Linked DNA regions of Arabidopsis thaliana. The protein of the gene in region 1 interacts with the protein of each later gene in a pairwise test. Each region holds a gene or a part of one and is shown on either strand. Other genes may lie near its edges.

What was found.
Region 2: the proteins of AT1G29980 (region 1) and NAPRT2 interact in a two-hybrid assay, tested with the Arabidopsis thaliana proteins (one large-scale study listed by BioGRID).

The regions. Positions count from the first base shown.
Region 1 is NC_003070.9:10,502,557-10,507,936, reverse strand, and holds AT1G29980 (choice-of-anchor C domain protein, putative (Protein of unknown function, DUF642)), read left to right. Parts: upstream 1-1,747; 5' UTR 1,748-1,942; coding exon 1,943-2,057; intron 2,058-2,770; exon of another isoform or gene 2,771-3,319; coding exon of another isoform or gene 3,320-3,326; coding exon 3,327-3,851; intron 3,852-3,942; coding exon 3,943-4,526; 3' UTR 4,527-4,698; downstream 4,699-5,380. Other genes in the region: PFD6 (prefoldin 6), read right to left, coding at 31-101, 196-271.
Region 2 is NC_003071.7:9,969,671-9,975,940, forward strand, and holds NAPRT2 (nicotinate phosphoribosyltransferase 2), read left to right. Parts: upstream 1-1,932; 5' UTR 1,933-2,148; coding exon 2,149-2,297; intron 2,298-2,388; coding exon 2,389-2,533; intron 2,534-2,621; coding exon 2,622-2,741; intron 2,742-2,833; coding exon 2,834-2,968; intron 2,969-3,061; coding exon 3,062-3,123; intron 3,124-3,219; coding exon 3,220-3,295; intron 3,296-3,518; coding exon 3,519-3,620; intron 3,621-3,754; coding exon 3,755-3,871; intron 3,872-3,961; coding exon 3,962-4,020; intron 4,021-4,125; coding exon 4,126-4,300; intron 4,301-4,383; coding exon 4,384-4,518; intron 4,519-4,603; coding exon 4,604-4,702; intron 4,703-4,785; coding exon 4,786-4,894; intron 4,895-4,970; coding exon 4,971-5,083; coding exon of another isoform or gene 5,084-5,122; exon of another isoform or gene 5,123-5,161; coding exon 5,162-5,239; 3' UTR 5,240-5,537; downstream 5,538-6,270. UniProt on the Arabidopsis thaliana protein: Catalyzes the first step in the biosynthesis of NAD from nicotinic acid, the ATP-dependent synthesis of beta-nicotinate D-ribonucleotide from nicotinate and 5-phospho-D-ribose 1-phosphate.

The DNA.
Region 1 (5,380 bases):
CAGATTAAACAGTGAGACATGAACATATACCTTAAGCACGAGCTCATTCTCACCGAGTTGGATCGTATACTTCTTTCTCAGCTGATGATTCTTCCCGATATCTGAAAATATGAACACAGAAAAGTAGGGTTTCCCGCCTCCAGAAACAAGAAAAGAATCAAATCGAGAAAAGTTACGAGAATCTACGAAACTTGCCTTTCTGGATTTTGCCGAGATCATTAGCCTTGTTTTCTAGGTCTCTCTGCAAATCACGAACAGTCGATGAACTCATCTTCGTCGTCGTCGTCTGCTTCTTCCTCACTCCGGTGGTTTATTGAAAACTCGCAGATCCACCAAGGAGCAGTAACAAAACTCCGTTAAAGCCCCCGTGTTTTAGTAAGGCCCAAAACCGTATTAACTTGGACTTTTTAACGGCCCAATATGCTTTTCTTCTATTATCAAGCCTAGTTTTAGTTACATACAAAAGAAAAACACTATTTATCACTTGGTGACGTAATATCTTCTAGTTCACTGATCATATCAACACTGAACATAACTCTCATAAACACAAATTTTTACTTTTCGTCCCTTTATACCTCAATCTATAACGGGAAAAATGTCGTTTAATACGTGAACTTTAAAAAAATGGTCATTTAATACGTGAACTTTATATATGGTAAATTAATACATACAAAAATCGTTGACTGGCCATTTTACACAAACTTAATCGTTGATCAGGCCAAAATCTACACGACGTTATCTGACATTAACAGACCGATAACAGCCGTTAACTAATCTCTGTTAGTTTCCAATACGACGTCATTTCGATTATCGCAAAAACGGGAAAAATGCCATTTAATACTCCAACTTTCAAATTATGGTCATTTTATACATCAACTTCACATATGGCCATTTTATACATGAACTAAACGTTGACCAACAGTTTAAAAAATGAGAATGTGTTAACCAGGCCAAAGAGACATACCGCTATCTAGGCCTAGGTATTTGAATAAATCCAAACCGAATCCAAACAAAAATCTGAATATCTAGGTCTAGATAGCGGTATGTCTTTTTGGTCTAATCAACGCATTCTCATATTTTAAACTATTGGTCAACGTTTAGTTCATATATAAAATGGCCACATGTGAAGTTGATATATAAAATGACCACAATTTGAAAATTGGAGTATTAAATGGCATTTTCCGTTTTCGCGATACTCGAAACAACGTCGTATTAGAAACTAACGAAGATTAGTTAACGACTGTTATCGGTCTGTTAATGTCAGATAACGTCGTGTAGATTTTGGCTTGATCAACGATTAAGTTTATGTAAAATTGTCAGTCAACGATTTTTGTATGTATTAATTTGCCATATATAAAGTTCACGTATTAAATGGCCAATTTTGAAAGTTCACGTATTAAACAACATTTTTTCAAATCTATAATAGTGAAAAGCCGAAGATTTTACAAAGACATTTTTGTTGTTGTCAAACTAATAATTCACTCCACAGCCTAAAAGAAATAGAGTTGGATCAAAAGTAAAGTTGCCACTTTAGTCTCGCATCTAGCACAGATCCAATGAGAGGGAAAAAAAAAGAGAGAACCTAGGTCAATACTAAAACTTATTCCATCGTGGCTCTACTAATTAGAACAATTAAATACTATGTTACAGTAGAAACATTTCTTTTACTTTTTTTTTGTTATGCGTGCATGGAGTTTTGTCTGTAAAGAGCTTTAAATATAGTGGAAATTAAATGTTGAGAGTTAAAAAAAAAGAAGAAAAAAAAAGACAAGGAGTGAGGAATCTTGGATAAAAGGACACTAACCTTCCCTGTCTTTGCTCGCTGCCCGAAAAGAACATACAGAAAGACACTTTCACATTTCACACTTACAGAGAGAGAGAAGAGAGATAAAGAGAGCATTTAGATATCTTGAGGAAGACGAAGAAGAAGTAGAGGAGAGATATGGTTCCGAGCAACAATAGATGCAAATGGAGTTCCATTTTCTTGTTTCTGCTCAGTGTCTCCGTTGCCGTCTTAGTCGCCGTCGCTGACGACAAGTCTCCGGCGGTTGAGGATGGTACGCTTTTCACTTACCTTCATCAAATTTCTTTGTTCTTTTCTGGTCTCTGCGTGATTGGTTTTTCTCAAAAATGCCATTTAAATAAGAATCTTGTGTTATCAAGATTTGGTTTCTTGAATCCAACCCATCTCTGTTTCAAGAACAGAGGACCAAAATAATTTAGTTTCAGATGATTGATTTAGTTTTTATCTGGATTTTGAGTGTTTAGATTTTTGGGGGTTTTCCTCAATTTCACTTCACTGTTGCTAAGATTTTTAAGTTGAGTTTTCTTCTTTACTAAAGATTAGAAATCTGTTATGTTAATGTCTAGTTTAAGTAAGTAAACAGTGTTAATCGAACCAGTAATGCTAATCTAGTTAAGGTTATCTCATAGTCAGGGGAAAAACTGTCAACTGAATTTAATCCGTCACAATAGAAAAGAAAATGAAAGTTGTATGGGTCTATTTGTCAATTAAGTATAAAGTATCTTATTCGTGCTTTCAGCGGCGGCAAAATTAAAAAGGAAGCCCTTCTTAAATCTTCCTTAGCTTCAATTAACAAATAACAAACACACACCAACAAAACCCTGAGAACTCTTTTTTTTTTTTTTTATGTGGATATTAATTTAAAGATCTGATTTCATAAAGAAAGTTGTTTAGGTACTTTACTTTCTAAGAAATTATTTGATTAAAAAATTTACCAAAAAAAAAAACCACTTGAGTAGGATTCGCGCCAAATAGTAGGTGGTCTTTTGGTCGTAGTATTACAAAACGACAAAGAATACTTGATAAAACGACATCCAAGTGTCTGAATACTTCTCTAGTTTTTCAACACGCTTTCTTTTGTTTTTCCACCGAAAACACAACAATTGTCTCTTGCTTTCCCCTATTAGAAGGGGCATTTTTAACTTGTAAATTGGGAACTGTAGAGTGTAAACATAAAAATTAGTAAATAGTCAAAACGAGTCTTCACAATTGTGGTCCTACTAAGTCATAGCTAGAAGGTATGGGCCGTATGTCTGGCCCCATATTAGACGTTTCAAGCCTCGTGTCTCCTTATTATTTTTTTTCGTTCACGTTTTTACAATCTAGTAAATTAAAGTGTTATGTCGAATCAAACTATTTATTTGAGAAAGACAAAAACAATCTCTTTTCACACCGCTAGCTAGTTTCAAAACAATCTTGAAACGTGATCATTTGGCGTTTCCAATGATTTTGTCTAACCAAATAATCCAATGTACATTATTATTTTAAAATTGTCTGTAACCTTTATTTTTTGTTATGACAGGTTTAGTGATCAACGGCGACTTCGAAACATCACCGTCAAGTGGCTTTCCTGACGACGGAGTAACTGACGGACCATCCGATATCCCAAGCTGGAAATCCAACGGTACGGTGGAGCTAATAAATTCCGGTCAAAAACAAGGCGGAATGATCCTCATTGTCCCACAAGGCCGTCACGCCGTCCGATTAGGGAACGACGCAGAGATCAGCCAAGATCTAACGGTTGAGAAAGGTTTTGTCTATTCAGTCACGTTCAGCGCTGCTCGCACGTGCGCTCAACTCGAATCGATAAACGTGTCGGTAGCGTCTGTGAACGCAGACGCGGACGATATGCTGGCGTCGCGGAACGTTGATTTGCAAACGCTTTATAGCGTTCAAGGGTGGGACCCTTATGCGTGGGCGTTTGAAGCGGAAGATGATCATGTACGGTTGGTTTTTAAGAATCCGGGTATGGAAGATGATCCGACTTGTGGACCAATCATCGATGACATTGCTATTAAGAAGCTCTTTACTCCTGATAAACCCAAAGGTAACCATAAATTTCTCTATATTTCTATTTTCGACTCCAAAGTTCTAAAATGTGCCTATTTCACCCTGATTTTTTTGGTTACATTTTGTAGATAATGCGGTGATTAATGGAGATTTCGAAGATGGTCCATGGATGTTTAGGAACACGTCTCTTGGTGTTTTACTTCCGACAAACCTCGACGAAGAAATCTCGTCTCTTCCTGGTTGGACTGTTGAATCGAACAGAGCGGTTCGGTTTGTTGACTCGGATCACTTCTCTGTTCCAAAGGGCAAACGAGCCGTCGAGCTACTCTCAGGCAAAGAAGGAATTATTTCACAAATGGTTGAGACCAAAGCAGATAAGCCGTACATATTGTCTTTCTCACTAGGCCACGCAGGTGATAAATGCAAGGAACCATTGGCTATTATGGCATTCGCAGGTGATCAGGCGCAGAACTTTCATTACATGGCGCAAGCGAACTCCAGTTTCGAAAAGGCCGGTTTGAATTTCACGGCTAAGGCTGATCGAACCAGAGTTGCGTTCTACAGTGTTTATTACAATACGAGGACTGATGATATGAGCTCCTTGTGTGGACCTGTGATCGATGACGTTAGAGTGTGGTTCTCCGGGTCGAAGAGAATCGGAGCTGGGTTTGGGTTTTGGGTTTTTGTTCTTCTCGTTGTCGGTTTGGTTTAAGTAACTCAAAATTTAGATGTTCCGGTTTTATTCTAGTGTACCAGTAAAATGTTGTTGCAAACCAAGAAGAATTCTGTATGGTTTATTTATCCATCGGGTTAAAGCAAATTCGAAGGTGTTTATCGTTATGCAAAAGCTTGTCCCAACGAAAATCGAGAGTTTTTTTCTATAGTTTTATTATTTTGTTCGAATATATTTGGATAAATCTACCACAAACATAACATCTTAGAAAATGTATGTATACAGATAATTTTGGGTAAATCAACGTCAATTCGAATACACACGTACCGGAGATAAAAAATGTTTCGGTTTAGTTTGGTAAAGAATAAGTAGGTTTTTATAATTTTGCTCCACTGTTTATAAAAAGGTGTCGTCGCATTCAGAATTCTTAAATTTCTTCTCTTTGCTTCTTCTCTCTCCACCGCCGTCGTCGTCGTCTCCGATTTCCATAATGAACTTCTTAATTTTTTAATCCGGAATTATCTCCGGAAGTATCATGAGTAGATAGATGTTGAAGCTTATAGAATCTCTTTTTTTTTTGGTCCCTTATTCGCTTCCATGAACATTTCATATTTTGGATCTATGATTTAGAGTAATAGGATAAGAGTTAATCATATGTTTGTTTTGATTCTGGGAATAGTAGATGATGAAGATGATGACATATAGCAGGTACTTAAGAGCAGTCTGTATTATCCTTGGAATGTTTCTTGGTGCAGCTTTATCTTTTGCTATGCCAGAATCTTCCGGATACTCAGTCTGAATGACTTTTCAAATCAGCTTCTTTCTGATTCACTCATCTACTAGTTCTTCTTGATTTAACAATCTCAATGTTTGTTTCTCGGATAGTTTTCACT
Region 2 (6,270 bases), on another chromosome or scaffold:
TTATAATTTTTTTTTTTTTGTTTGGCTTGAATCTGCATGACTCACTCAAATTAGAAGCCAATTACTATCATCAAATTAGAGATACATTTAACTATGAAGCGAATTACTATCACCAAATCATGAGCTATATGTGTTCCATAGTTACAGAGTCTATCACCAAAATACATAACGCCAACAAAACAAACTCCTAGTCTTGTACATCTATGAAGCCAATGACTCAAAACATACAACATAACCATCATGAAGCCAATTACTAAGAAAAAGCAACAAAAGAAAGAGATAGATACAGAGAAAAGAGAAAATACTTGAGCAAGTTGGGACTGAGTCAGCTTCTTGTCTTCTCGGGCTTGCATGATGGCTTTCTTCAACTTAGTGGGCACACGATCACCTGATTTTAAAACCATATAAAGGTGTTAACGATAACCAGCATTACGAATCAATCAAACACATATGTAGACTTCCTCTCGCTAATAATGCAAACTGAAGAAAATATTAATAACCCAAGAGAACAGACTAGATTACTAGAATGACTGTACCCAAGCAAAAGCTGGTTCTTATGGGATCCAAATCAACAACACTGATCCCCATGCAACAAACAATAAAACGAAACAGATCAATCAGATAACTTCTTCGTTTTCTAAAGAACCAAATCATCTACACAACTAAATCAATCAAAGCTTAGTCATCTTCCTATCTGACAATGCTCTGATTCGAGGGAACGAAGCAAGGGTTTGGTGGGAGATTGGATTTGGGACAAACACATATAGAATTGGGTCATCGATTTGGTGAAACGAACTCGGAATGGTGAGCAGCGTCGAGAGAGACGACCAATAGAGAGAGTGAGAAAATTTCCCGACGGAATGAAAAATAAAGACACAAGGATTTTTTGTTGGTTAAATATATCAACCAACCACTGACTGCCACGTAGGAGGCTCTCTCCAGAATTATTTGTTTTGATTATTTTTAATCAACAACTTCAAGAGAACCCTATCAAATTGTGATACTCATATCATGACACTGACAAATAAAAGAGACCATGAATATGGTTAGGCCATATGCGATATGGCTTCAAAAACCAAGTTGGGACAATCTTATGTTTAGTCTTAAGTTTGAGTTCATTTTAATTCATTTTAGATACTATTGTTTGATGTAAAATTAAACTTTGATAAATAAATGTACCTAAATTTGGATTGATTTTTTCATAATCATGTTTAAAATTTTTGGTGTTATGCAATTCTGTTTTGTTTTGTTTTTCCATAATAAGCATCTGAACATTTTTACAATATTTATATATTTTAAGAAACTGAAGTTTTAAGATGTATTAATCTACATTAACCTTTTCTATTTTAATGTTAACAAATATTATATATTATAAGTACAATATTCATCAAATACTATAACATATATGTGAAATGTAAATATTTACTACTAATCAAATATCATACTGCATATTTGATTGCAAAAGAGCTAAAAATCATTAATATTGCACATTAAAAATAGTCAATAAACTAAAATCATTAAATACACAAATATATCATAACACAGCAAGTGTGTACCATTATTAATCAATAGATTTACGCTATACAAGTTTTCCGAATTATGTATGTGAAATAAATCACACCAAAAAAATGTATTTGAAATGAAAAAATTCCCCGCCTCTGTAATTTAAGTTTTTTAGATTAAAACAGCTAAACTCTTTTCATTAATTTATTAGAGATACAAGATATTGTTATTTGTTACCAATACCAATATGTAAATTTTTCTGAGTAATTATTATAATTAGTTGAATTTGGCTACCATATGCCAATTTTCAACACATAAAATTCTTTTAAACGTGAAAATTCCAATAATCTAAGAGCCAACAACCACGAAAATTAAACCTCGTTTTAGTCTAAACTCTAAAATGAGAAATAATTAGAAACCAATAAAGGCTCTTAAAGAAAGACTAGGTCAAGTTCAAAGCAAGTTTTGCTTTGTGTGGTGGTCGTCGTCTCTTTCTTTAAACACACTTGTTTTTTTCTTTTTCCTTTGACCACTCCAATATAAACAACCAAGAACCAGTGTTCCTCGTCCATTCACTCTCTCGTAATCACACACACACTCACTCATACGAAGCCAATTGTTCCACACAAATTGGAAGCGACGACAATGGAGCCGAAAGAGAACGGCTCAGAATTGGGTCAGAAGATCATTGACGGACCAACGAATCCAATGGTCACACCTTTACTCAATGATCTTTATCAATTCACCATGGCTTATGCTTATTGGAAAGCTGGCAAACACAACGAACGATCCGTGTACAACACACAATCTCTTCTCATGCTCTGCTTTTGATGTTGAATTCTGAATGGTTTTGTATATTTGAAATTGTTTTTGTTTCCTTTTCAGTTTCGATCTGTATTTTCGTAAGAACCCATTTGGTGGTGAGTACACTGTGTTTGCTGGATTAGAAGAGTGTGTTAAGTTCTTAGCCAATTTCAAATTGACTGATGAAGAAATCGATTTCGTTCAAGAGTGTTTGCCTGGATCTGAGGTATATCAAAAATCTGTTTGTTTTTAGATTGTTATTGATTAAAGTTTGGATTTTTAAATCAGGGTTTTATGTTTGTGATTCAAATTAGGAAGCTTTTTGTGATTATCTTAGAGGGCTTGATTGTTCTGATGTTGAAGTTTATGCAATTCCGGAAGGATCAGTTGTTTTTCCTAAAGTACCTCTCATGAGAGTTGAAGGACCTGTTGGTGTGAGTCTCTTTGTCTCTTTCATTTGTGAAGATTGTTTAAGGAATAGTTTTCTTGAATGAATGATTCATCAGTTGTTGTAAAATCTCCATAGGTTGTTCAATTGTTGGAAACTCCATTCCTCAATCTTGTCAATTTTGCATCTTTGGTAGCTACTAACGCAGCTAGGCATCGCTTTGTTGCCGGAAAATCTAAGAGTCTACTCGAGTTTGGTGCTCGAAGGGCTCAGGTTTCCTATAAATCTCTCTCTTGTTTTTTGATATATTGCCTTTTGTGTTGTTCTTTCCATCTCTGTCTGATGTTATTAGTGTTGGAATCTTAGGGTCCGGATGGTGCAATAAGCGCATCAAAATATTGCTACCTTGGAGGTTTTGATGCAACAAGGCAAGTCTTGCTTTTTGTTTTTGTTGATCTGGAAGTAGGTGAAAGGGAATGTGGAAATGATGTGTTTTGTGTTGTTGGGTATTTTGCCAATGACAGTAATGTAGCAGCTGGAAAACTTTTTGGGATTCCTCTTCGTGGAACACACTCTCATGCTTATGTTAGCTCATTCATGGTCAGTTCACTTCAGCCAAAAGTTTCAATTTTTATGTGGAGGTTACATACTTGAGTTAGCTAGTAGAGACGATAACACAAAGTTTCGTGAAAATAAGATATTCTTGTCAATGCCTTTGTTGCTATAACTTTATTAGCCATGGTTCTGATGCACACTTAATATCCTCGCTCATAACAATATCACAAAAGCATTTTCGATATAATTAGTTAACTTTGGATTGCAGAGTACTGATGAGATTGTTGACAAAGTACTTCGTAGTGCTGATGGGAAAACCACGTGCGAGGATTTTGTTAGTCATGTTCAGACATGGTTAAAAAAGATTCAGGTTTGTTTATTGCACATTTTGCTCTTCCTCTTCCTGTTTTCTAGTCTCAGGACCATTGTTCTATTTCTGCTTCAACCCTTTGCTTGAATCTTTGTCACAGTTTTTCTTATGTTTTGTTTCTTTGTGGATGACAGTATTCACCATCTCTAAGTGGCATTTTCTCTGAGACAAATCAAAGCGAGCTAGCAGCTTTCACCTCATATGCACTGGCATTCCCCAAAACTTTTCTTGCCCTCGTAGATACATACGATGTGAGCATTAAACACCATAGTAGATAGCTCATTTGAGCCTTAGGATTTCTAATAAACTCTTATATTAGTGTTTTGCTGACTGTTTTACAGGTGATGAAGAGTGGAATCCCTAACTTCTGTGCAGTTGCTTTAGCACTCAATGACTTTGGGTGTGTAAGAATCTCTTATCAATACCCGATCGTCTGACTTGACTTTGTACTTCTTCAGGATCATATGGAATTTGAGATGCAATTGATGTTTATTGTGCTGCGCAGATATAAAGCATTAGGTATTAGACTGGATTCAGGTGATTTAGCTTATCTATCTAGAGAGGCCAGAAATTTCTTCTGCACGGTAGAGAGAGAACTAAAAGTGCCTGGTTTTGGGAAGATGGTCGTCACTGCTAGTAATGATCTAAATGAAGAGACGATTGACGCTTTAAATAAACAGGTGACTCCCTAACCCACTCTCAAATGCCATGCCCCCGAAAGATTGATTATTATTAAGCAGTGTTTTTTCTTTCATCTCTATAGGGACATGAGGTGGATGCTTTTGGCATCGGGACCTACTTGGTCACTTGCTATTCACAAGCGGCCTTAGGTTGCGTTTTCAAACTTGTGGAGATAAACAATCAGCCTCGGATTAAACTTTCTGAAGATGTTACAAAGGTTAAAACTCTCTCTCTCTCTCTTGGTGTTCTGAACATTCAATGTCACATTGCACTTAATCTGATTATCATTCTGATTCGTTTAGGTATCAATACCGTGTAAAAAGCGAAGTTACAGATTATACGGCAAAGAAGGTTACCCTCTGGTAGATATAATGACTGGAGAGAACGAACCACCTCCAAAGGTAAAACGAAAGATAACTCTCTCAAAGATTTTAATCTCATTACCTTATTGCATTTTTACATAATATCTTTCTTGATATCAAAGGTTGGTGAGCGTTTACTTTGTCGTCACCCATTCAACGAATCCAAAAGAGCATATGTAGTGCCACAACGTGTCGAAGAGCTCCTCAAATGTTATTGGCGTGGAAGTGCAGGTAAAGATTTTCCGGTACCGTAGAGTTATTAATGACAATGCTTTTCACTGATTATTGTTTCTCTATACCAATGAAGATGAAGCAAGAGAAGTATTACCGCCTTTGAAAGAGATAAGAGACCGTTGCATCAAACAGCTCGAAAACATGCGACCTGATCATATGAGGAGATTAAACCCAACTCCTTATAAGGTATGGTTTTATCCGACAAACATGTTTTTCAGTTTCTGAGAAATCTGTGTAAATGTTTTTTTCTCTCATGGTTTACAGGTTAGTGTAAGCGCAAAGCTGTACGATTTCATCCACTTCTTATGGCTAAACGAAGCACCTGTTGGTGAATTGCAGTGACAGAACAACCAAAAAGAAGAATCTGGTTTTGGTTTGGTGTAATGTATATAATTTATATACCACAGCATCACAAATATGCATTTTTTTCACTTTTAGTTTCTTTTTCTTACAACATTTTGATGATCTCTCATTGTCGTAGTAAGTTTCATTTTCTTACTGAGGAAAGAAACTCTCTGCGTTCACTGGAACTTTGTTTTCAACTGATTCAATAAGATTTTATATTTACAGCTGTAAACATACTGGAGACTGTAAAAACATTTACTCAAGTCAACGATTTTGGATCAGGTTTAGTTTCGTCATATGGTTGACAACTTACTGTTGCAAACGGATTGGTAAGCAGTTGAGTTAATTGAGTTTTTTCTAGCAGAGATTTGAAGAACATTACCTTTCTTCAAAAACTTCTTTAGGCGTTACTAGGACGTTTGGGGTGGACCTAGTCACTAACCACATATTCAAAATTCATTTCCAAAAAGATGAATTATGGAATATGAGAATAGAAAAATACAACAGAGTAAATGAGGAGTAAAACTTTATTACAGAAACTTACCAAACAGTAAAAAAAAATATGGAATATAAGGAAACCATTACTTAACGAAAAATCACTTAACAAGAATACAAGATGACTAAAAATGACAAGACGATAATCCATCCAAATTGAGGTTAAAAACAAGTGATAGTTTTGGTCTTATACAACAGAGTTATACAAGTGTAACTTTGAATTCTTATGGTCTCCAAATAGCCATGGCTTCGAGGGCAGGGCACTCGATATGGGCGTGGGTTTTCTTGGATGAAAGTTAAATTTGTTGATATAAAAGAAACACATAGTATACACAAAACTGGTCGGGACCAATACTCTTTTTTTTTTTGGCTCCGTTCATATTTTCAAAACAACAATTCTTTAGTGAAAATTAATAGATTGATTAAAGAAAAAAATGTTGAGAAAACATGAACTTTCATATTGTTGACGAAAAAAACATGAACTTTTCAAATGTCATTTAAATCCTAAAGTTTAGTTTGACTTCTTAAAAAAT